Linked DNA regions of Rattus norvegicus. The protein of the gene in region 2 interacts with the protein of the main gene of each other region in a pairwise test. Links are inferred from orthologs where the notes say so. Each region holds a gene or a part of one and is shown on either strand. Other genes may lie near its edges.

What was found. The genes of interacting proteins can lie anywhere in the genome.
Region 1: the proteins of Golga2 (region 2) and Zfp488 interact in binary tests that used the Homo sapiens proteins (3 or more experiments, as listed by UniProt). The two-hybrid records come from large-scale screens. The link is inferred for Rattus norvegicus from reciprocal best matches to the Homo sapiens genes GOLGA2 and ZNF488.
Region 3: the proteins of Golga2 (region 2) and Glyctk interact in binary tests that used the Homo sapiens proteins (3 or more experiments, as listed by UniProt). The two-hybrid records come from large-scale screens. The link is inferred for Rattus norvegicus from reciprocal best matches to the Homo sapiens genes GOLGA2 and GLYCTK.
Region 4: the proteins of Golga2 (region 2) and Tcea2 interact in binary tests that used the Homo sapiens proteins (3 or more experiments, as listed by UniProt). The two-hybrid records come from large-scale screens. The link is inferred for Rattus norvegicus from reciprocal best matches to the Homo sapiens genes GOLGA2 and TCEA2.

Annotation. Positions count from the first base shown.
Region 1 is NC_086034.1:9,288,725-9,294,164, forward strand, and holds the end of Zfp488 (zinc finger protein 488), read right to left. Parts: intron 3,209-5,440; 5' UTR 3,098-3,208; coding exon 2,081-3,097; 3' UTR 562-2,080; downstream 1-561. UniProt on the Homo sapiens protein: Transcriptional repressor. Plays a role in oligodendrocyte differentiation, together with OLIG2. Mediates Notch signaling-activated formation of oligodendrocyte precursors.
Region 2 is NC_086021.1:35,993,977-35,999,416, reverse strand, and holds part of Golga2 (golgin subfamily A member 2), read right to left. Parts: intron 3,734-5,440; coding exon 3,675-3,733; intron 3,405-3,674; coding exon 3,263-3,404; intron 2,745-3,262; coding exon 2,655-2,744; intron 2,547-2,654; coding exon 2,439-2,546; intron 2,295-2,438; coding exon 2,207-2,294; intron 1,872-2,206; coding exon 1,534-1,871; intron 1,291-1,533; coding exon 1,177-1,290; intron 728-1,176; coding exon 482-727; intron 403-481; coding exon 327-402; intron 162-326; coding exon of another isoform or gene 126-161; coding exon 43-125; intron 1-42. UniProt on the Homo sapiens protein: Peripheral membrane component of the cis-Golgi stack that acts as a membrane skeleton that maintains the structure of the Golgi apparatus, and as a vesicle thether that facilitates vesicle fusion to the Golgi membrane.
Region 3 is NC_086026.1:115,674,367-115,678,827, forward strand, and holds the end of Glyctk (glycerate kinase), read right to left. Parts: coding exon 4,317-4,461; intron 4,111-4,316; coding exon 3,959-4,110; intron 3,370-3,958; coding exon 3,194-3,369; intron 2,892-3,193; coding exon 2,025-2,891; 3' UTR 1,705-2,024; downstream 1-1,704.
Region 4 is NC_086021.1:189,176,090-189,180,682, forward strand, and holds part of Tcea2 (transcription elongation factor A protein 2), read left to right. Parts: intron 1-536; coding exon 537-599; intron 600-914; coding exon 915-1,020; intron 1,021-1,785; coding exon 1,786-1,876; intron 1,877-3,157; coding exon of another isoform or gene 3,158-3,172; coding exon 3,173-3,303; intron 3,304-3,573; coding exon 3,574-3,630; intron 3,631-3,986; coding exon 3,987-4,141; intron 4,142-4,216; coding exon 4,217-4,363; intron 4,364-4,593. UniProt on the Homo sapiens protein: Necessary for efficient RNA polymerase II transcription elongation past template-encoded arresting sites.

The DNA.
Region 1 (5,440 bases), on a different chromosome or scaffold from region 2:
TTTCTAGTTCAGAGTTTGCTCCTTTTAACTGTGTCCTCAGAGAGAAAGTGGGGAGCTGGCCGTCTGGAACCCATAAAGACATTAATCCAGCCTCCCAAAGGCCCACTTTAGAGTTTTCCCATGAATTTTGAGAACTGAAGATATCTAGACTATTTCTTTATGAAAGAGATAACTTGGGAAGTCGTGGCTTCATGGCTTCTCTCCAGGAGGAGCAAGTGACACAAAGGAGGAAGACATGAGAGGGGGCGGGACTTCCAGGGGATGCCTGGCAGCCCAGCATGCTTACTCTGAGGGAGTGTGTCACTAGCAAGTTCTAAGTCTCGAGCTCTTAAACATTTGAACTTGCAAATCCGGCTGCAAGCCAAGTTGTGTCAACATCAATTCTAAGCATCTCCTGTATGCTGCGACGGGACTGGTCCCCTTTCAAAGAGACGGCCTAGAACTCGCAGGCCAATGCATGAGCCCGAGGTAAGCGTGCATGTGCTTTTCACAGATGGCCACCTCCTGTTCCCCAAAGCCAACTCAAGAGTTGGCAGGAGCAAAGCCAGAGTCAGGCAGATCATTCATTCATTAACTTATACGTTTATTCTTTCTTTCAACAGATACTGTATGTCTGCGTTGTTCTAGATGACGGAACTATGCCAAAAACTCCCTTTCATTCCTGTGAGGAGAGCTACAGTGAACAGAATAGATTGATAGGCTATTTAGTATACAGGATGGAGGAAAGTGCTCAAGAGAAGAGTGGTGTGTGTGTGTGTGTGTGTGTGTGTGTGTGTGTGTGTGTGTGTGTGTGCAAGCACATGCACATGCATGAGCATGTGTGCATCATGCAAAGTAGCAAGGTTAAGTTGAAATCGAACGTAAGGAGACCAGCCTCTAAGTTCCTCAGTATGCTCCGTGACCATGCTAGCTAAGCAGACATGCAGAGGCTGAACAAGACATGAGCTCAGATCTGGGGGTTCATGGGATTTTGTTCTTCTGCCAGTGCTCCTGACTAAGTGGCACTGGGAAAGTCATTAACATTTCCAAGTTTAAATTCCTCTGCAGTAGGATGACAATTCACTGTCTATGTCCTGCAGCGTTTTGGGGGGTAGATGATAGGGTATGAAGTACTTCCTGGGTACCTCATTCTGAGTGTTCTCCAGTTGCTCTTTCCTGCCCTACTCAGAACCTCAAGGAAGGGTGGCACCTGGAGGTCATGCAGAATAAGTGTCTGTTTCTCTCTTCTCACGCATTCATGGTGTGAAGACCCAGAGAACAGGGGGGTGGAGTTACTAGCCCCCACTCCTTCGTTATGGTTTAAGCCAGACCACTTGTCCACTCAGCCACTTTAGGCCTGGATTTGTGTTGGCCCAGGGAAACTTGGGCTTGTGACCCATTTTCTGGGCATTTTGCACTCTGACTTTGCCATATCCAGCATAATGATCCAGCAGCAAAAGGGCCTAGATTTCAACGCAGCCTGAGCCGAGTCCACCAAGCCACGCTACCTCCAGTCTTATTGCAGAGAAACACGATGTTTGTTCACCCCTGAGATTTCAGGAATAAAGTAGCTGGCTAGTGCAAGCAATGATCCGTACGATTTCTGCTCACATTGCACTGGGGAGCAAGCCGGCCACTATCCAAACAACACCTTCCTCAGTACTCTGATGACATCCTGCGATCACACCACTTTCAAAACAAGAAAACGGAGGGTCACCGAGTTGAAGGAGCATGTCCAAGGTCAGGGCTCACAGTGGAAGCCCAAGTTGAATGCAGGCCTGCTTGCCAGCAAAGCCGAGGGTGTCATGCTTGTGTGCTTCCTTGCAGAGTACCAGGGACAGAGTCAGGAGCAGCCCTGTTCCCTGAGCCATGGGTCCTACCATCCCGTGAGTGAAGCTTATCATTTTAATGCCTGATTTTTCCAGGAAAACACAAGGACTGGGACATGTGACGAATTATAACTGAGTTGTTCATCTCTGGGAAGCAAAAGGAATGTCTCGGAGACGTCTTTGACAACCTTCTTAGCACAGGCCAGGAGTCACCTGTGCCTTACCACTTCCTACTGGAAACTATGGACATCAGTTTTCTCCGTTGCCACATGCTAACTATGTGAAGTCATATGCCTGGAAAGATGGTGACGCTCCCGGAAGTCCTCATGGCAAACGGGGCAAGTGAGAACTTCCTCTCTTCGTTTCTTAGAATGTGGATCGGGGCCCACATGCTCCCTTTTGTGATGGGACCGCATGTGGAAGACCAGGTCAGCTGTCAGACGAAAGGCCAGGTTGCACTTGGCACACCAGTTCTGAGTAGACAAGCCCAGGGAGGAGAGCGTGGGCGGCAAGAGAGCCCGAGAGGCTGTGGCAGAAGATGCCGAGGATGTGAGTGCTTGCACCTGGGTGTGCTCCAGCCATGGTGTAGGAGCCCCCTGGAACGCATTGCAGAGTAGAATGTTCTGTGACAATGTGTGCAATTTCCAGAAATCACCCATGAATTTGAAAGTTGACAGATGCGCCCAATATGGGATGTCCACAGTGGTGATGAGTCCTGAGAGCTCCCACGAGTCGTCTGCACTTCCAACAGCCAGAAGCATGGGGGAGCACTTAGATTTCTCCGCTGGGCGCTTGGCTGGCTTTCTGAAAGCACTTTTCTGCTCGCTCCGGGCTGCGCCTGGCCATACCGGGCACACTGTGCCATCACCTGAGGCTCTGAGGAGACTCACGGGCAGCTGCTGAGTGCCAAGCTGGCCTTCTGGGTTCTCCGACTTCCTTGTCTGGGCCCGGATGTCCCCTGGCCTCTCCTGGAGGCATGACAGCTCTGTGAAGGTATTCTGCCTTTGCTCTGTGCACGCCTTGCAGGCCAGAGGCCTGTCCGGTTGGAGCTTGTCTGGTGCTGCTGACAGGCTCAGGTCCGTGTAGGCTGCATCTTGACCCTCCTTTCCTGCAGCAGCAGCATCAGAGTCCACAAGGGTCATTTTCTCGAGCATCCCCGGCTGGGTCTGCTTGGGTTCCATGAGCTTCCATCGCTTTTCAACTGAAGGCCTCAGAGAAGCTCGTTTGCCCTCAGCCATGTGATCAGTAGGGCCTGACAGGCTAAGCAAGGTGGATGTTCCAGCAGCCATTTGTCTACAGGGCTTTGGGGTTCCAACGAGCTGGTCCCTACCCCCAGGAGGAGCTATGAGATAGGAAAGTCCCCAGTGAAGCCTGGACTGGATGCACTTGACCGCTGATCTCTGCAGGAAGAAAAAATAACAGACAGTGAGGCAGGCACTGGTCATTCAGTATCCCATATAGACCAACACCAGAGAAGCCCACTTTCTCTAGCCTTACATTGATGTTTGTGAAGTGCGAACGGTGTCGTCCCAAAGAGAAGGAGAGAAAAGATGAGTGGCTCAGATAGACCCCAGTAGCAGGTAGAGACCAGTACCTGCCAGAAAGACCCTTGGAGCGATGGCACAAGAATAATATGTCACGACCCCGTTCAGGAAAAGGCAGGGAAGCCACAGAAAACAGCTACTGTGATTAACCAGGCCCGGCTCAAAGCCGCAGAGGCTGGAGGAACAGGAAAGGGAGCCTGATCTGATCTGAGGCAGAAAACAGGAGATCCTGGACACCCAGCAACAAGCTGGCCCTGCGGGGAGGAAGCTGTGCACAGTCTCCAGCATCTCCGTCCGGCTCTGACTCGGTGTTCAAAGACTAGGGAGCCACAGCACCAGGCGGTGATGGTGTGGAAGGTTCGTGCGTTCGTGAGCTCAGCTCCTCATAGCATTCTCTCTCTTCCCTGTCTCCTAAACTAACATTTCTCCACATCTCCTGCCTGCTTCCACGTGATCCCTCTGCACCAATCTTAGATTCCTTGTCCCAGATTTTCCCTACTCCCTTCCAAGCCTGCATACATGATCTGCTTTTCACTGTAGACCCTGCACTGGCTGACACCACGCAGTGGCCTCAGCTGCTGAGTTTCATGCACTTTTCTCCCACTCTGGTCCCCACTAGGGAGCATTTCCCAAGTCCCCCCTAGGAGTTAGGGGTTTGACATCCACGCCAGGGGTAGAGGAAAGAAGGGTAGCTCTTTGTTGTGGGGAAGCTTCAGGGCTTTTTCCGAGAGGCCCTGCTTTGACCTCGCCTGGATCTGGCTACTCTCTGATTCACAAAAGGAAAGCTTCAGAAGGATCACAGTTACAAGTGCCTACAGTAACCAGGCAGCCACAGCGGGGTGCAGAAGCACAAGACAAAAGCTCTAGACTCCTGAGGGATCGATCCTACTGCAGGATCCTATGGATGTTCTTCCCACACTATGGGAGCTCATCACTAAACTGGGACTTGGAAGTGGCTTCGGCTCCCAGTGGAAACTATAACTCACCGCCATTTTCTTTGAAAACTGCAGATGTCCCCTAGTGTGCAGACCTGAGGCTCCCTCAGGAGATTGTTCATCAAGCAAAGGAATGGCTTCTGTCAGCATCTGCCCTCCTCTACCTTAGTCAAAATATTGTCCAGCTGTGACTCTGGGTACAGGTTTCCCTGGGCTGGATGAATGTCACTTCTCCTAGCCTGCTGATCTCTCAGGCCCAGGAGACAGGGCCTGTGCCAGTGTCTGCAATCCATAGCCCCCAGAGGGCACCCAGGTGAGGCATACGGCAAGCCCTCGGGAAGTGCTGTGAGGACCAAAAGGTTCCTAAGCCAGACAATAGAGCCGATGTTTGACAGCCTGCAATCCAGCATCTTGCCTCACAGCCAAGTCTAATATGCTTCTGTTACTGGGGTTCTACACTTCTACTTAGTTCCTGTCTTTCTCCAGTTCATGTCTCCAGCCAGCCCCTCTGATGGCGGGACCCTCCCTGCCCCATAATCTAATAAGTTCCTTCTCTGCTGTGTTGGCCACAGCTGATGTTTGCTGCTTGTACCCTAAGTACTGTGACTGTTCTAGAACTGATAGCCTCACCCAGCTCTTGGGGACTGTGCCTCCAGGACTCTTTCAGGGAGAATGTCAACACAACACACGCTCACGTGTGCACACGTGGGAGCAAACACACATACGGAGGCTTCCATCCAGTGGCACCAGTGGCTCGGCGCCATCCCCACATGTGTGAGCATTGGGTGGCCACTTCTGTATTAGCAGGGTAAACGGCACCACCTGCCAGCTTGCCTTCTTGGGTCATCCTAACATGTTTTCACCCGGGCTGAGTTTCCCCCGCTGGTTGGCATGCTGATTTTAATTCTTGTTGTCAGGTATGCTAGGCCACTTCAGGTACTGAGGGACAGGAACTTCTATAGGCACAAGTGGCCAGAGGGCTGGAGGAACACTTGGCAGGGTGGATGTGGGCTCTCGGGCCTTTACATCACATTGAGCACAGTCCACTCTCCTCCTGGCCTTGTTTCTGTCTAGAGCTCCAGTCTCCCTGGTCTCCACTCACCAGACCCACTCGCTCCACAACTAAACCCACTCATTCCTCCTCTACCCATGT
Region 2 (5,440 bases):
CACAGAGGTAGAAAAGAGAAGGGCAAGCAGAGCCCAGCTCACCATAGCCTCTCTACTGACAAGGTCTTCTGGGATGGTCAGACTGGGCTGAGGAACCTCCTCGTCTTGCTCCTCCTGGTCCATATCTCCTGGGGGCAGACAGTTGCTGTAGGCTGTCTCCTCTAATAATCCCAGCAGGTAGACAGAGTGGGCTGGGGGAGGAGAGCTCAGAGCCCCACCCCTGCATCCCCACTCTCTACCCTAGGACCAGCCAGTGACTAGAAAATGCCCAATCAAAGCTGCTCCAAATACATCAACTCTAGTCCTCTCCTCCTGGGTGGTCTTACCTTCCCCAGGGAGGACCAAGAGGCTCAGCTGGGCTTGGAGCTGTTGGTTCTCCTGGCTGCTAGCTTTTAGGCGCTCCTAAGGGGCCAGGAGAGAATGAGAAGGGACAGAGGTGGCCAGATCCTCCCCCTGGGCCCAGTCTTAACAGCTGCCTCACCTGTGCCTCCTGCAGCTCCTGGCGGGCCATCTCGGCTGCCATCTTGCCCTGAACTTCCTCATGCTGCAACTGGTCCATGAGCTGTGTCTGCAGCAGAAGCTGCTTGTGCAGTGCCTCCTTCTCAGAGGTCAGCTGCTCATAGGCTGTCAAGTGCTGTTGGTAGGCGGCAGCGTACTGCTGCAGGTGGGACAGGCACTGGTCTCGCTGCTCCTGCAGACCCTGTGCTTCTTGGCTCTTCAGCTCCACCTGCAGGAAGGCTAGGGCTGAGGGCAGGCAGTGCTGGCTGCCACGGCCTGAGCGCCTGCCTTTGTACCCAGCCTCACATAGTCACCTTTCTCACTCCTTTAGGCCCCAAGAGTGGAAAAGCAGATGGAACTAACCCATTCTGTTCTGCACAAACCTACTAGTACCCGTTATTTTATGCACATTTTCTCATTAAACCTTTAACACCTCTATGAGAAAACTCATCTTTTAACTTCAGTGACTAGGTTTGGAGATGGGAAGCACTTGAACACATGGGTGTGAATCCAGCCTGAACCCAGAGCCCTGCATAAAAGGACAACGACTATAAAAGGGCAGCTCCTGGATAGAGAGCAGTCCAGGGATACCTGTTCCAGGCTGTGGCTAATCTGTGATGGGCCTTGCACCCACCCTCCCCAGGTCTGGTGGCCAACACCACATGTAGTAGGCCTTACCGTCTCCTTCAGCTCTCCCAGCCTCTCCTGAAGCTCTCCCAGCTTCCTGGCCAGCTCTTTCTTGACATGCTGCTCTGATTGTAACGCACTGGTAATCTCCATGTTCTCATTTGTCTGGACAGAAAGCAACAGTCAGTAGGACCTAATGTGGCTGGAGTCCCCAGAATTGCATGTGTACTCCCTCTCAGAGTAGGGAAGGCTGCTGGATCATTCCCACACACCCTAGGGCTCGGGATTGTGGGGTGCCTTCACCACTACCACCTAACGTGAGGCGGACAGCACCCCATCCTCTGCCGGTGCTGACCAAAAGGGGTGAGTGTGTTCCCTGTAAGCAAGGAGGGCCTGCAGGCTCCGCACCAGCCTGACGAAGCCGTTCTGCAGCTCAGCCAGCTGCTCCTTGAGCTCGCGATTCTGTGACAGCGCTCTGCTGATGGTGGTGCGGTCACTCTGCATGCTCTCCAGGATCTGCTTGCGCTCCTCTGCCTGCTCGCTCCAGTGCTGGGCCTCGCGCTCCAGCTCCAGCAGCCGTCCCTCCTGCTCCCGGTTCAGGTGGCTCAGGCTCTCATTGTCCTGCACCTGGGCCCGCAGCTGACCCGTCAGACCCTCCAGTTCCTTCTGCAGCTGCTCAACCTCTCCCTGCAGCCGCTCTTCGGCCTCTGAAGGCCCAGTTGGAGGCTCTGGAGGTGGTGGCTCCTCTGAGAAAGGAAGCAGGCACTGTGAGTCAGGCTCCCTGCCCTAAGCCTTGGCTTCTTTTCTGTCAGGGTCTCAGATGAGGCAAGTGTTTCAAGCCACTCTAGCACAGATCTGGGATGCTCAGTCACCTGCTGAGGTGTAGTAGTAGGCATGCCACCCTGTTTTGCACAGAAAGGCACATGCTCAGAGAGATGACAAGGCTTGTCACCTCGTCCTGGCAGAGACCCTTTGCCCCCATTACAATGCCCTTACACCCACCTGCCCCCCTGGGCAATGGAAGCCACCTTCATGGCTCCTCGACCCACTCCTGCTCTCAGGTCACCCTTGCCCTACTCACCCATCTGACTCCTGAGTTCAGCCAAGCTGGCCTCCAGCTCTTGTACCTGACTTTCTCTCTGCTCCTTCTCTTCCTTCAGTGCGTGCACCTGCCCAAGGCACAGGGTGGGGGTGCTGGAGATCCCAGGCCCACCCATCCCCAGTCCCACCTCTGCAAAACTGAAGCCCCTAAGCCCTCAGCTCCACGACACTGATGCCCAGGAAGAGCGAAGACTCCAGAGGCCAGGCCTCACCTGCTCTGCCATCTGCTGTACCCTCTGCTGCCACATGGCACTCTCTCCTTTCAGGTTCTCTGCGTACTGGTCTCTCTCCACCTGGAGCTGTTTCAGTGACTCCATCAGCTGCATCAGTCAATATACGAGTTATGAAGGGCTGTCACAGGTCCTCACCAAGGGCCATTGCGGGGGGAGGGGGGATCATGCCCTTCCCCTCCCCCCACAGATCCTCACCTGGCCAACATGGCTCTCCAGCTGAGCCCGCTCCTCCATGGCCTGTTGCAACTGCTCATTACTGCCAGAAGCCTCAGATTGGCTAGAGAACTGCATGAGGGAAAGGAGGGCTTAGATCTGGGAGCCTATGCTGTTCTGCTGAAGTGCTCCCCACAAGAGTGTGAGCTAGGATGACAACCCAGGGTCATTGCCATAGGAGAAAGTGTCAGGAAAAGCTAAGCAGACTCCTGTTGGGCCATTTAAATGAAACAGAACGCTGGCATTTCAGCAGGCCTAGTGGCTCATGCCTACAACCTCCCACTTGGAAGGCTACGGTAGGAGGATTACCATGAGTTCAAGGCTTACCTGGTAAGTTACAGGTCACCCTGGGCTACTGATAAGACTGTCTCAACAATAATATAAATAAATAAAGTAAGGATCCAACAGCCACATCACCCTCACTAAGACTCTGATTCACAGGTGTGGCGGGGGCTCCACTGAGCAATTAGTAAACAGCATCAGCACAGGACAGGAGGAGGTTCCAAACTGTCCATACTTGGCCGCAGGTCACCCCCAAGGAGCCACAGACTTTGTGCCTGGGCCTTAGGGGTGAGGGCTGCACTTCTCACCTGTTGCAGCAGCAGCTCTGACATCTCTAACTTCTTCTGCAGCTCCTCTGCCCCCAACTGTGCAGCTGCTTTCTCTGCCACCAGGACTCGAAGTTTCTCTTCCAGTTCTGAGTTCTGCTGCCTCAGGTCCTCATTACTTTTGCTGGGGCCAGTGGCAAGGTGGAAAGGAAGGAATCAAGAACAGAAAGGAGCCCATTTCAGAGTGATGTGTGAGTCCTGCCACAGCACCACAGGACAGAGCACTGAGTCACAAGCGACAGGCCTCAGAGACTGAGTTACCTGGGACCACACCATGAGTCAGGAGCATGGCTGGGACCAGAGCTCAGCTCTACACAAACCCAAGCCTGTCTGGGCTGAGTCTCCACTCTCCACACTGAGGCTGCAGAGAGCCCAGCCGCCTTCCCATTCTTACCCATTCTTGTATAGCTCCAGCTTGAGGGCGTCTCGCTCTTTGGTTAGGTCCTTGTTGTACTGCAGACAGAGAAAGCAGAGTTTGGACATGAAAGGCTGAAGCAGCCGCTGGCACAACACCAACGGCCTGGTGATATTCTCCAGTGACAATTCCTCTTCCTAATCACACTTGGCATTTTCCCAAGGCATTTCTACATTTCTGTCTCCTTTGTGATTCTGTCCGTTTGTTTTGTTTTTAAGATGGGGTGACACTATGTTATCTAAGATGGCTTCAACCTCCTGGGCTGAGAGGGCTCAGCCTCTCCAGTAGCTGGGACCAGAGGTCACAGTCTTCAGGGTTGCTTTGTTCTACTTATTTATACGGAGTGGTGTTCTGTCTACATATGTCTGTGCTCCACAAGCGTGAGTTACAGACAGTTGTGAAGCACCACGTGGCTACTGGGAATCGAACACTCTTCTGATGGAGAGCCAGTGCTCTTGCTCACCCTGCCATCTCTCTAGCTCTGCTTTTGTTTTTAATTAATCATATATTATTTTTGCAAGGCTGGGATCAAACTCAAGCCCGTGTATAGGTCAGGCAATTGCTCTATGACTGACCAACAACACACTAGCTCTCTTTTAAAGCTCTCCTTTTTCTCTCTTCCTAAATACAGTCTGAGGGATCCAGGTAAGCCTAGAATTTACAAGCTGGCCTTGAACCCTCCTGTCTCAGTCTCCCCAGTGCTGAGATTACAGACACGTGTCGCCTTGCCCAGTGACGCATGGTTTTATGAAACACAGTCTCATGAAGATGAAACTGGCCTTTAACCCCACCTCTTCCTGCTTCTTTCTTCCAAGTGACAGGTATGTGCCACTCCATCTGCCTCACTCCTGTTGTTGCTGTTACTATTACAACTACCACTTATACTACTACTTTTTTTTTTTTACTTTTTGAGACAGGGTCTCTCTATATACAGCAGGCTGTTTAATTTGCAGAGATTCGCTGCCTCTGCCTCCAGAGTGCTGATATCAAAGGTGTGGGCCACCACCACCTCACTAGTACTGCCTTTCCTTTGTTTTGTTTTTTTTTTTTTAAGATTTATTTGTTTTTATTTATATGAGTACACTGTCACTCTCTTCAGACACACCAGAAGAGGGCATCGGATCCCATTACAGATGGTTGTGAGCCACCATGTGGTTGCTGGGAATTGAACTCAGGACCTCTGGAAGAGCAGTCAGTGCTTTTAACCGCTGAGCCATCTCTCCAGCCCTGCTTTGCTTTTTAATAAGAACTCATGAGCAGGATGGTGGCAGAGACCTTAGTCCCAGTGCTTCGGTGGCAGAGGCAGGTAGATAGATCCCTATGAGTTCAAGAACAGGCAGGTCTACAGAGTTAGTTCAGGACAGTCAAAGCTCACAGAGAAACCCTGTCTCAAACAAACAAACAAACAAACAAACAAACAAAAAACAAAAACAAAAACAAAAACAAGACAAAACCAACAATACAGGCAGTGTTTGGTGCACACCTTAACCCCAGCCTTTGGAAGGCAAAGGTCAGTGGATCTCTACGGGTTCCAAGCTATCCATGGCTACGCAGAAACCCTGTCATAATAACAACAAACAGAAAACACACACATACACACAAACCTCAGTAAAGGGGCAGATGGTTATTCTTCTGAGAGAGCCCAGCACTGATATCCTAGGTCAGTCCCAGGGGAGCCAAGTGCCTTCTGCCCTCTGCAGGCATCAGGCATGTGTTTGGTGCATATACATAAAGGCAACACACAC
Region 3 (4,461 bases), on a different chromosome or scaffold from region 2:
ACTCTGTAGACGAGGCTGGCTTCAAACTCTCAGAAATCTGCTTGTTTCTGCCTTCCAAGTGCTGGGATTAAAGGCTTGTGCCACCACTGCCCAGCCCTTTTTAAGGCTCTTTAAAATGGGATCTCTCTTGATTGCCTAGGCTGTCTTTCCCTCTGTAGCTCAGGCTAGCCACCAACTCTCAGTCCTCCAGCCTCTCAAGTACCTAGGATCATAGGCCTGCACACCAGGCCTGGCTACATAATTGATATTGATGGAGAAAAAAAAGTCCTATTGAGCTCTAACCGTAAGGAATTTGCATATTTTTATCATCTAGACCGACCAATATATAGGTGAGCAAATACAGTAGACTAAGCCCACAAACCGTTTGCTCTAATGGGGCCCAATTCAGACCCTGGCCCCCAGACTCTGAAAGCATGGTTACGGGAAAGGGACCAAGTCAGATAAGGGGAGCTTCCATCAAGACTCTGCCTATATGCACAGCCCTCAGCAGGCAATGGTGGCAGCAGTCCCCAAAAGCAGCCCTACTCTGAAAAGCACCCATGGGTACACTACGGATGTATTGTGACACCAGTGTCCAGGGCTCACATGGTCACCACACAGAGACATCGATGTGACTGAAAAGCTCCTCTCTTGAAGTTCTCACCTGCAGCTCAACGTCCAGTAGGAATACATTCCCGAGGTCAAGGACACAGGGACAGCAACTCCTACAGGATTCCAGAACACCAGTGTAAAGAGAAAATCCTCTGAGACACTGACCCTCTGCACGGAACAGAAGGAAAGAAAATGGTACTCACCACTCCACTTCCCTAAACCTATCTGGTCCTCAGAGCTGGCTTACCTTGCTTACCTCCTTCTCAATCTGGGGAACACACAGGAGCCAGGTCTGCAAACCATGGGGCCCAACTGCTAGCCAGACTGTCCAGGGCCCAGTGGAGAAGGAGGCCCTTCCCAGGACACATCAGCTCTGACCTAGAGGCCTGCGCACCCTCAGGGACCGCCCCAGTCCTCACTGTTCTCTATGGCTTTTTATTCCTATGTGATACTATTGCTCGCTCATATAGGGATTGGAGCCGTGGCGCACGGTGAGGGTAGCCAACAGAGGGCTCTGATGTGGAACAAGAGGGCACAAGGCAAACCAGGCCAGTGGCTGCAGGCCAAGCCAAGTGACTCACCTCTGCCAGCTATGACAGGATGGGCTGAGGGACTGCTGAGCTCCTTCAGCGCTCTGACCTACCATTCTAGTGCTCGAGACACTCACTGAAATGCTGGCACCAGGGCCCAGAGGAGCGGCCCTGGAACGTGGCATGTTTAGCCTGGGAAAAGGGGACACAGGAGAGCAAGTTCAATGCCCTGCAGCCTGAAGAAGACCCTTGATAACCAGGGGGTAAGGGGGAAAGCAAAGAGTGGTCCAAATACAGAAGGAAGATCCTTGGTGGCAAGTAGATCCTTTCCACCCAGCCAGGCTACAGCCGGAGAGGAGACACCATGACCAGGTTGCCACAGGGAGTCATGGTTAAGCAGGCGACGATAAGCCTGTCCTGCTCACCCACATGAGGCTGCCAGACGCCAGATTCAATCGTCACAGACTCCCGTAACAGCGTGAGAAACTCTGCAAGGTGCTGGCACCAATGCTAGGACCACGTCACGTGCCCCAGCAGCCCCCGAAGGTCTGTGTTACAGAAGAGGCACTGAGGGAAGATGAACTGAGATTCCCACAACATGGTCCTCTTTATTTTCAGTCTCCCTACCTTTGCGCCATGGAAGAAACAGGCTGAGGGCATGGGCAGAACTGTGAACTGGCCCAGAAGCTTCCTGCTGACATGACAGAAAAGAGGGGTGTAAAGGAACCCCCATCTTCTAATCTAGTTGGGGGAACAAACATGGAGTAGATCTGTGGGAGGTGGGTGGAGCAACAGAGGAGGGCTTCCTAAAGCACAATGGGCCCTGGGAATCAGTCCTCTGTCTTCCTACCAGACCCTGCCCTTGAAGGCCTCTTATAAACTCTCAGACTGTGAGCTATGCCATCACTGAGGATGAAAAACCAGGAGGTGGACATCCATGACATTGGTTCCCGTCAACCCTGTATGCAGCAAATGTGTTCCACCCTGGAAGCTGCAAAAGAACGTGTACGAGTCATTGTTGTCGAGGAAGGTGGCAAAATCCAGGTTTTCAGCAGAAGCCTGGCTAACAAGGTCAGACATGACCCAGGCCCCGGCCACCTTTGTAGGCCCGTCCTGCCCATCAGTGCCTCCACTCAAGAACAGCACATCAACAGGCCCCAGTGGCTGCTTTCCCAGCTCTGCTCCCACACGCAGGGCCAGTTCTTGGTTCCGACCGCCCTTGCCAGATCCCTGCAGCTGCACGGTGGGCTCCCCGCCAGCCAGGAGGCAGACTGGCCCTTTAGCCTTTGCCACAGCTTCCAGAGCCTCCTCCAGCTGCAGGTCCGGGAGCTGGAGCTCAGCTGCCAGCTGATGGAGTTTTGCCTCCTCCTCCAAGGGACGCTCAGCTGTGGATGAAGTGAGGCAGGCTGCAGCCACCCGGGCTAGCAGCCCATAGAACTGAGCCACACGTCTTACATCACCCTGCATGGCTGTGCTCAACACCATGGCGTGGTAGCCCAGGACCTCAGCTTGCCGCTGAGCCTCGGCCAGGGCCAGAGAATTAGAGCCGATGATCACATTGAGGACGTGACCACAGGTATGTGGTCCGTGGGGATCAGAGTCAGCCCGAGAGAGCACGGTCTTCACAGAGCGTGGCAGAGCAGCACGGAGACCATAGTGATTAAGAATATGCAGGCAATCTTGCACACTGTGGGTGCTGGCCACTGTAGGGCCACTGGCAATCACCTCCAAAGGGTCCCCGATCACATCTGACAAGATGAGGCTTACCACCTAGACAAAGGCCACAGAATGAGGTTCAGAGTCGCACCTCCATGTCCCAGGGCCCTAAAGGACAAACTGACCCTGGGTATACAGCACCTGGCATGCTTCCGTGCCCACATCTACCCACTTCCTGCCACTTTCAGGTGGGCTGGCAGAACACCTAACCAGGGAGCCTCCCTCTTACCCCCTTTCAGCTTCCTCCCAGGACTTTCCAGACGAGGCCCCTGCCAATTCCTACGTTCTAAGATAAGCTCTCATCTCCCCCTCACATGTTGGGAACACAGGGCTGACTGAAGAAGTGATTAGAGCACCTGAGCAGGGTAGGCGGCCTGAGCCAGCCCTCCACCCTTCAGCTGGGACAGGGCCTTGCGGATCGTGTTCAGCTCCTGGATTGTGGCTCCTCGGGCCGCCAGCAGCTTGGTGAGCGTCTGTTTCTCCTCTAGTGTGACAGGTGGGATAGGAGCGGGCAGCAGGGCTGAGCCCCCACCTGCAGAGTCAGTGAGGGTGTCAGGGAGAGGAGACAGCCCTTCACAGAGAACCAGACAGGCCACAAGGGAAGTGGTCTAAGAAGGTGGGGTTGCAGTGCCCCCTTGTGGACACAGAGTGAAGTTGTGCCCCCTACCTAGGGTCCACCAGATCCCAGAAGGGCTGGGATATGCTTGCCTAACCTGTGTGAAGCTCTGAACTCAATCCCCAGTACCACAAAATAAACAAACAAATAAATAAATAAATAAATTTAAAATTTAAAGCTAAGGAAGAACAAGAAAAAACAGCAGATACACAAGGAGAGAGTTGAGTGGGGGCTGGAAACCAGCTTCGGGAGCCTGAGTGATACTCTTCCAGACAGCAATGTTCTCCAAAGGTTCTGATGTAGTTTAGTGTTAAGTACCCGGCTGTGCCTTCACCACTACAGAATGTTCGGGAGGGCAAACTTACAGCTGAGGATGGATGACTGACCCGACACTACCCACAAGGTACCCTCCAGGTTCCTCAGTGTCTCCCTTGGTCCCGACTTCACCCTGTGACCACCCGGCACGGGGACATCCCTGTCAGCTGTCCCCTGAGATGAGCCACACCTGAGATGAGCACAAGCAGCAGGTCGTCGGCAGTGAGCCTCTCTGCCAGCTGCTGGATGGCCTGAGCGGCCCGAAGTGCATCCCGATCCGGTAAGTTGTCCTCGGCGCCCTCAAACACCTGGATGTGGCTGTGTGGCTTCAGCAGCATCTCTCTGAGAAGGGGGCAAACAAGGGAGAAGAGATGGGGTGGGCTCCTCTCCTCCCACCTGACTTCTCAGCTGCAGCTGCATAGGTGAAAGTGGCCCACTGATACCTACTTTGAAACCAGGCCAGACCCAGGAGATAGGGAGGTCAAGAGGAAGGGAGGTTTTCCTCCAAAGGACAGTAGAGGGCATTCCCTGTCCCCATAGATTCTTACTGCTTTCCGGCAAGCTCCACGGCAGCTCGGATCCCCTTGGGTACGCTGATAACACCCTGCACAAGATGCTGGCCCAGTAGCTCATCAGCTGCAGCAGCCATACCCAGTACGGCCTTGCCGAAGCCCACTAGGTAGAGGTTTTCTT
Region 4 (4,593 bases), about 150 Mb from region 2:
ATGGCTAGGCACTTTGAGGAGAGCCTGCTCTGCCACCATGGCATAGGTGGACTAAGGTTAAGGAACCTGAGTGTCCTTCCATGTCGAGCAGGAACTGGGGCTTTTCTTTTTCTCTAGTAGCTTGTTCAGTGTCCTCCTGTGGTTACCATGATGTCTGGAGATCAGCATAGATGCAGGGTGAGAAACCACCTGATGTTTGAGGACAGCATGGTCGGGCTGTTTGTCTCTATCCTTGCCCTATGGCAAGATCAGTAAAAAGCCCCTGCTGTGATGTTGGAACAAGTATGCAATGCTCTGGGAATCTCAGTTGTCCCACATGTGATCAGAACGAGGTGGGGTTGTCCACTAAGCCTCCCAACTAGTGTTCTCTGTGTAGTCCTGACCATCCTGGAACTCACTCTGTAGGCTAGGCTGGCCTTGAACTCAGAGATTCACCAGCCTCTGCGTCCTGAATGCTGGGATTAAAGACATGTACCACCATTACCCAGCATCCACTAAGGTTTAAAGTCCTTTATGGATGTCCATTTTCCTTCTAGGAGGGAGCCATGGATTTGCTGCGGGAGCTGAAGAATATGCCTATTACATTGCACTTGCTCCAGGTAAGTGTTTCTGTCCTGATTTAGGATGGTTCCGGAGACAGCAATTCCAGGGGCATCCAGCAGGGCTCCCTATGGCTTAAGTACCACCTGGCATAACTGCCACAAACAACTCTTCTAAGGAGAGGATTTCTGATTCTCTCTGGTGATCAGGGAGGTGGGAGGTAGGTACCCTGGGTTCCAAAAAGCCATTGGGAGAGATGTTTTCTGTCCCTGCCCATTCCCCAGCTGTTGACTGTGGGAGCCAAGAGTCCTTGATGAGGATTTGCCTCTGGAACAGGCCCCTACCACCTCTGACTCAGGCCACTTGCCTTGCAGTCCACCCGTGTTGGGATGTCTGTCAACGCTCTGCGGAAGCAGAGTTCAGACGAGGAGCTCATTGCACTTGCCAAGTCCCTCATCAAGTCCTGGAAGAAGCTCTTGGGTGAGTCTCAGAATGTAAAGGGCAGCTCTTGCTGGTCAGCACAGCATAGAGTGCTGGCTCTGCTGTCCTGATTGAAGCTATATGTAGTGGGATAGGACAGACATAGATCAGAAAGTACCCATCCCTGGCCTGGAAGTGGATGGAGATGATGGAAGGCATCTGTTGTGATGGGGAGGTGACGGCCTGCGAGGCAGGATCATTGAGACAAGGGAACATGCTGAAGAGGAGGTTTTCAAGCTGCAGGAGGCCAACAGAAAAGGAGGTCCAGGTCAGGATGCTCCAGCTGAAGGAAGAGGAGGTGGGACTTTACGAGAGGTGAACTAGGCAGACAACAACTGATTCTGGGGACAGCGGACAGCTAGGCTGCAGAGATTGTCCTTTTGATTAGGAGGGTAGCCTTCCTTGGTTCTGTCTACTTCTGTGAGACAACCCAGGGCCTACCCCTCTTTACAGTCACATGCCCTGGTCCCTAGTTTAGGCTTTGGGCAAGGTCCTGCCTATGTTTTCACAAGGAACCTTGTGTGAGGCATATGCTTGTTTTTTTTGGCTGGGCTGGGCCTTGATGAGTTGCACAACAGCTTGCTTGGGGAGGCTGGGTCCTAAAGGGGCTGGTGGACTGGCTGGGGACCAGTAGGAAGGTCTGGTAGCCTCCTGGCATCTTGCCTGTCAAATAGCTTTAAGCAGAAAGGATAATGGCGAGACTGAGGCTGGCCCCTCACCTGGCTGCCTGACCAGTCTGCACCATCTGTTTTCTGATAATGGCAGATGTTTCTGATGGCAAATCCAGGGATCAAGGGAGGGGCACACCTTTGCCTACATCGTCCTCAAAGGATGCCTCAGGGACTACGGATCTCAGGTAGCATATCTGAAGGCAGGTACATACATTTATGCCTCTTGACTCAGTTTCCTCAGTGGGAAAGGAGGCTGGTGTCCATTTGCCTGGTTACTGCCCTGAGGGACGTTTCCTCTCCAGGGTGAGATTTACAAGGTTTGTTAGCCTCATGCTGGATACTGTTGCACTGCTCAGTTCCCTTCCTGCCCATCTGAGATGTCTGGCTGTGTCTGCCTGTCACTGGCATCATGGAGAGCTTCATCAAGGAGCTCCTATCCAACAGAGCTGGCCCAACCCCAGGCCCCCTTGCCTACTCCTCAAAACCTACCTTTTTGCTACTCATCAGGACTGGTGTTATGGGTCCCTTCATGCAAATGCCATCCGGAGCTAGAGGCGAGCTGGCTCCCCCGCCAAGCCCCTGGAGTTGAGGACTGAACCCAGGGCCAAGCGCTCTACCACTGAGCTAAATCCCCAACCCCTAGCTCAGCTCTTATCTCCACATTCATGTGGCAACACCATTGCTTTAAAGGTGGTTCGGGCAGCCCTGTTACCATGGAGACTAGGAGCACTAGTAGTAACAGACTATAGATGAGAGGCTACTTTGACCAGAGGCTGGGCAGAGGCCATGACAGGCTAAGCTCTGGACTCCAGTGTAGCATTCCTGATATGATGTTAATCCTGAGCTCAGTAAGTAGTACAGTTGATTTTGGTTCAGAAAACCACCTGAAACTGCTGCTTTCCAGAGGTGGTGTGAGGAAAGGGCCTGGTGGGCCCAGCAGACCTGAGGAAATCCTTGCCCAATTCAATGTTGGGTGGGGTCACCTGTGACATTAAGACTCAACTTTGGGTGACCTCCCACCTCATCTTTACTCCAGGCAACTAGAAGTATCTGCCTGGTTCTGCCATTAGCAGAGAAGTATTCACAGCATGGCCCATGTCTTGGGCCTCCTGGGAAGCACTCAGGAGGTAGCAAGAATATCTCATCCCATTTTGACCATGGAGTGTTGCTCAGACATTGACTGTGAGGGGCTGGCATCCACTTAGGGAGTGACTGTGGGCCTTCTGGCCAATATTGACCTGATGAGGAGGACATAACACGCAGGAATTCTAGGATGAACTAAAGAGATTAAGTAATTGGAGGTCTGTCAGGATAGCGCAAATGGACTTTGGAGATCAGCATGGCATCCATGTTTGCTTTCCTGGGGATCACCTGTGGCCTAGGGAAGGTCAGGGGACCTCCCCGAGGTATCATCAGCTACTGGAGATGTGCAACGGAGCTCAACTGGTTCAGACTGAGCCCAGCAGGCTTTGTCTCTCTAGCTGCAAGAAACCAGACCCACCTAGGACCTCATCCACTCCGAGGATCACCACATTTCCCCAAGTGCCCATCACCTGTGATGCTGTGCGAAACAAATGTCGTGAGATGCTGACTTTGGCCCTGCAAACTGACCGTGAGTACTACAAGGTCTGGATTTCGACTCTGTAGGTGGCCTGGGCCTCTGTCTGCTTCAGAGCTTGCTGCTGGAGAGACAGCTCTTCTCTTTAGCTCGCTGTGACCTAGCAGAGAGGCTAAGGTTTTTGAGGTCACCATAACATCTGTATGGTGGGAAATGTCTCCCTGGAATGCAAGTGTCCCGTTTAGCTTCTAGGGCTCTGTGCAAGCAGAGGGGTGGCAGTTGGAAAAAGATGGTGGGGGAAACAAGCGAGGCTCCCTCTTACAGACGACCACGTGGCTGTTGGTGTGAGCTGTGAGCATCTGTCATCTCAGATCGAGGAGTATATCCTTTGTGTAGGGTAAATGGTTAAGGGCTTCTGAGAGAGTCTATCGTCCACTGAGTTGTGCTTCTCTGGTAGCTATTGGACACAACTGGTAGGCTACCCAGTGCCCTTTCTGGGTGGTCCCTTGACCTTTTCTGGGCCATAAATGGGTAAGGGGCTATGACTACTTAGTAGATTTATCTGGGTCTCAAATAGGAGTGGGCCTAGAGAAGGCAGAACACTATAGACCCTTGGGTCCCCCACAGGTCTTGAGTGGGTAGACTCCTCTCCATGAGCCTGGGAAGAACATTTCCCATATGACTACCAGGAGGGGGAGGAGCTCAGAAACCTCAGATGGGTCCTTAAATACCTGCACGCATCTTCCTGGATGTGGGAAACACTGACATGAAGTACAAGAACCGTGTTCGGAGCCGAATCTCTAACCTGAAAGATGCCAAGAACCCTGGCCTACGCCGGAATGTGTTGTGTGGTGCCATTACACCCCAGCAGATAGCTGTGATGACATCAGAGGTAAGCTCTCCTGGAAGGGCTGGGGCCGGCTGTCTCTACAGAGCTGTGGGCTGCATACGTCACCTTTTTTATCAGGAGATGGCCAGTGACGAGCTGAAGGAGATCCGCAAGGCTATGACCAAGGAGGCCATCCGAGAGCACCAGATGGCCCGTACAGGTGGCACACAGACCGACCTGTTCACCTGCAACAAGTGCAGGAAGAAGAACTGCACCTACACGCAGGTCGGGGCCTACACCATCCTCCATCCTCCTGTCTAGGGGCCGCAGGGTGCACTCCTCCTCCTCTTGGGTATCACCTGTGTCCCTGCTTTTGGCCTGAGGCTCTATGCCAGGGCTCGGTGGCTTGCCCATGCCTATCACGGAGGGATGGGATAGGAGTAGAACATGCTGTTTGTCAGTAGCTGTGGGACCTTGAGGTCCTACTATGGAGGTGGAAGCTGAGGTACTCTAGG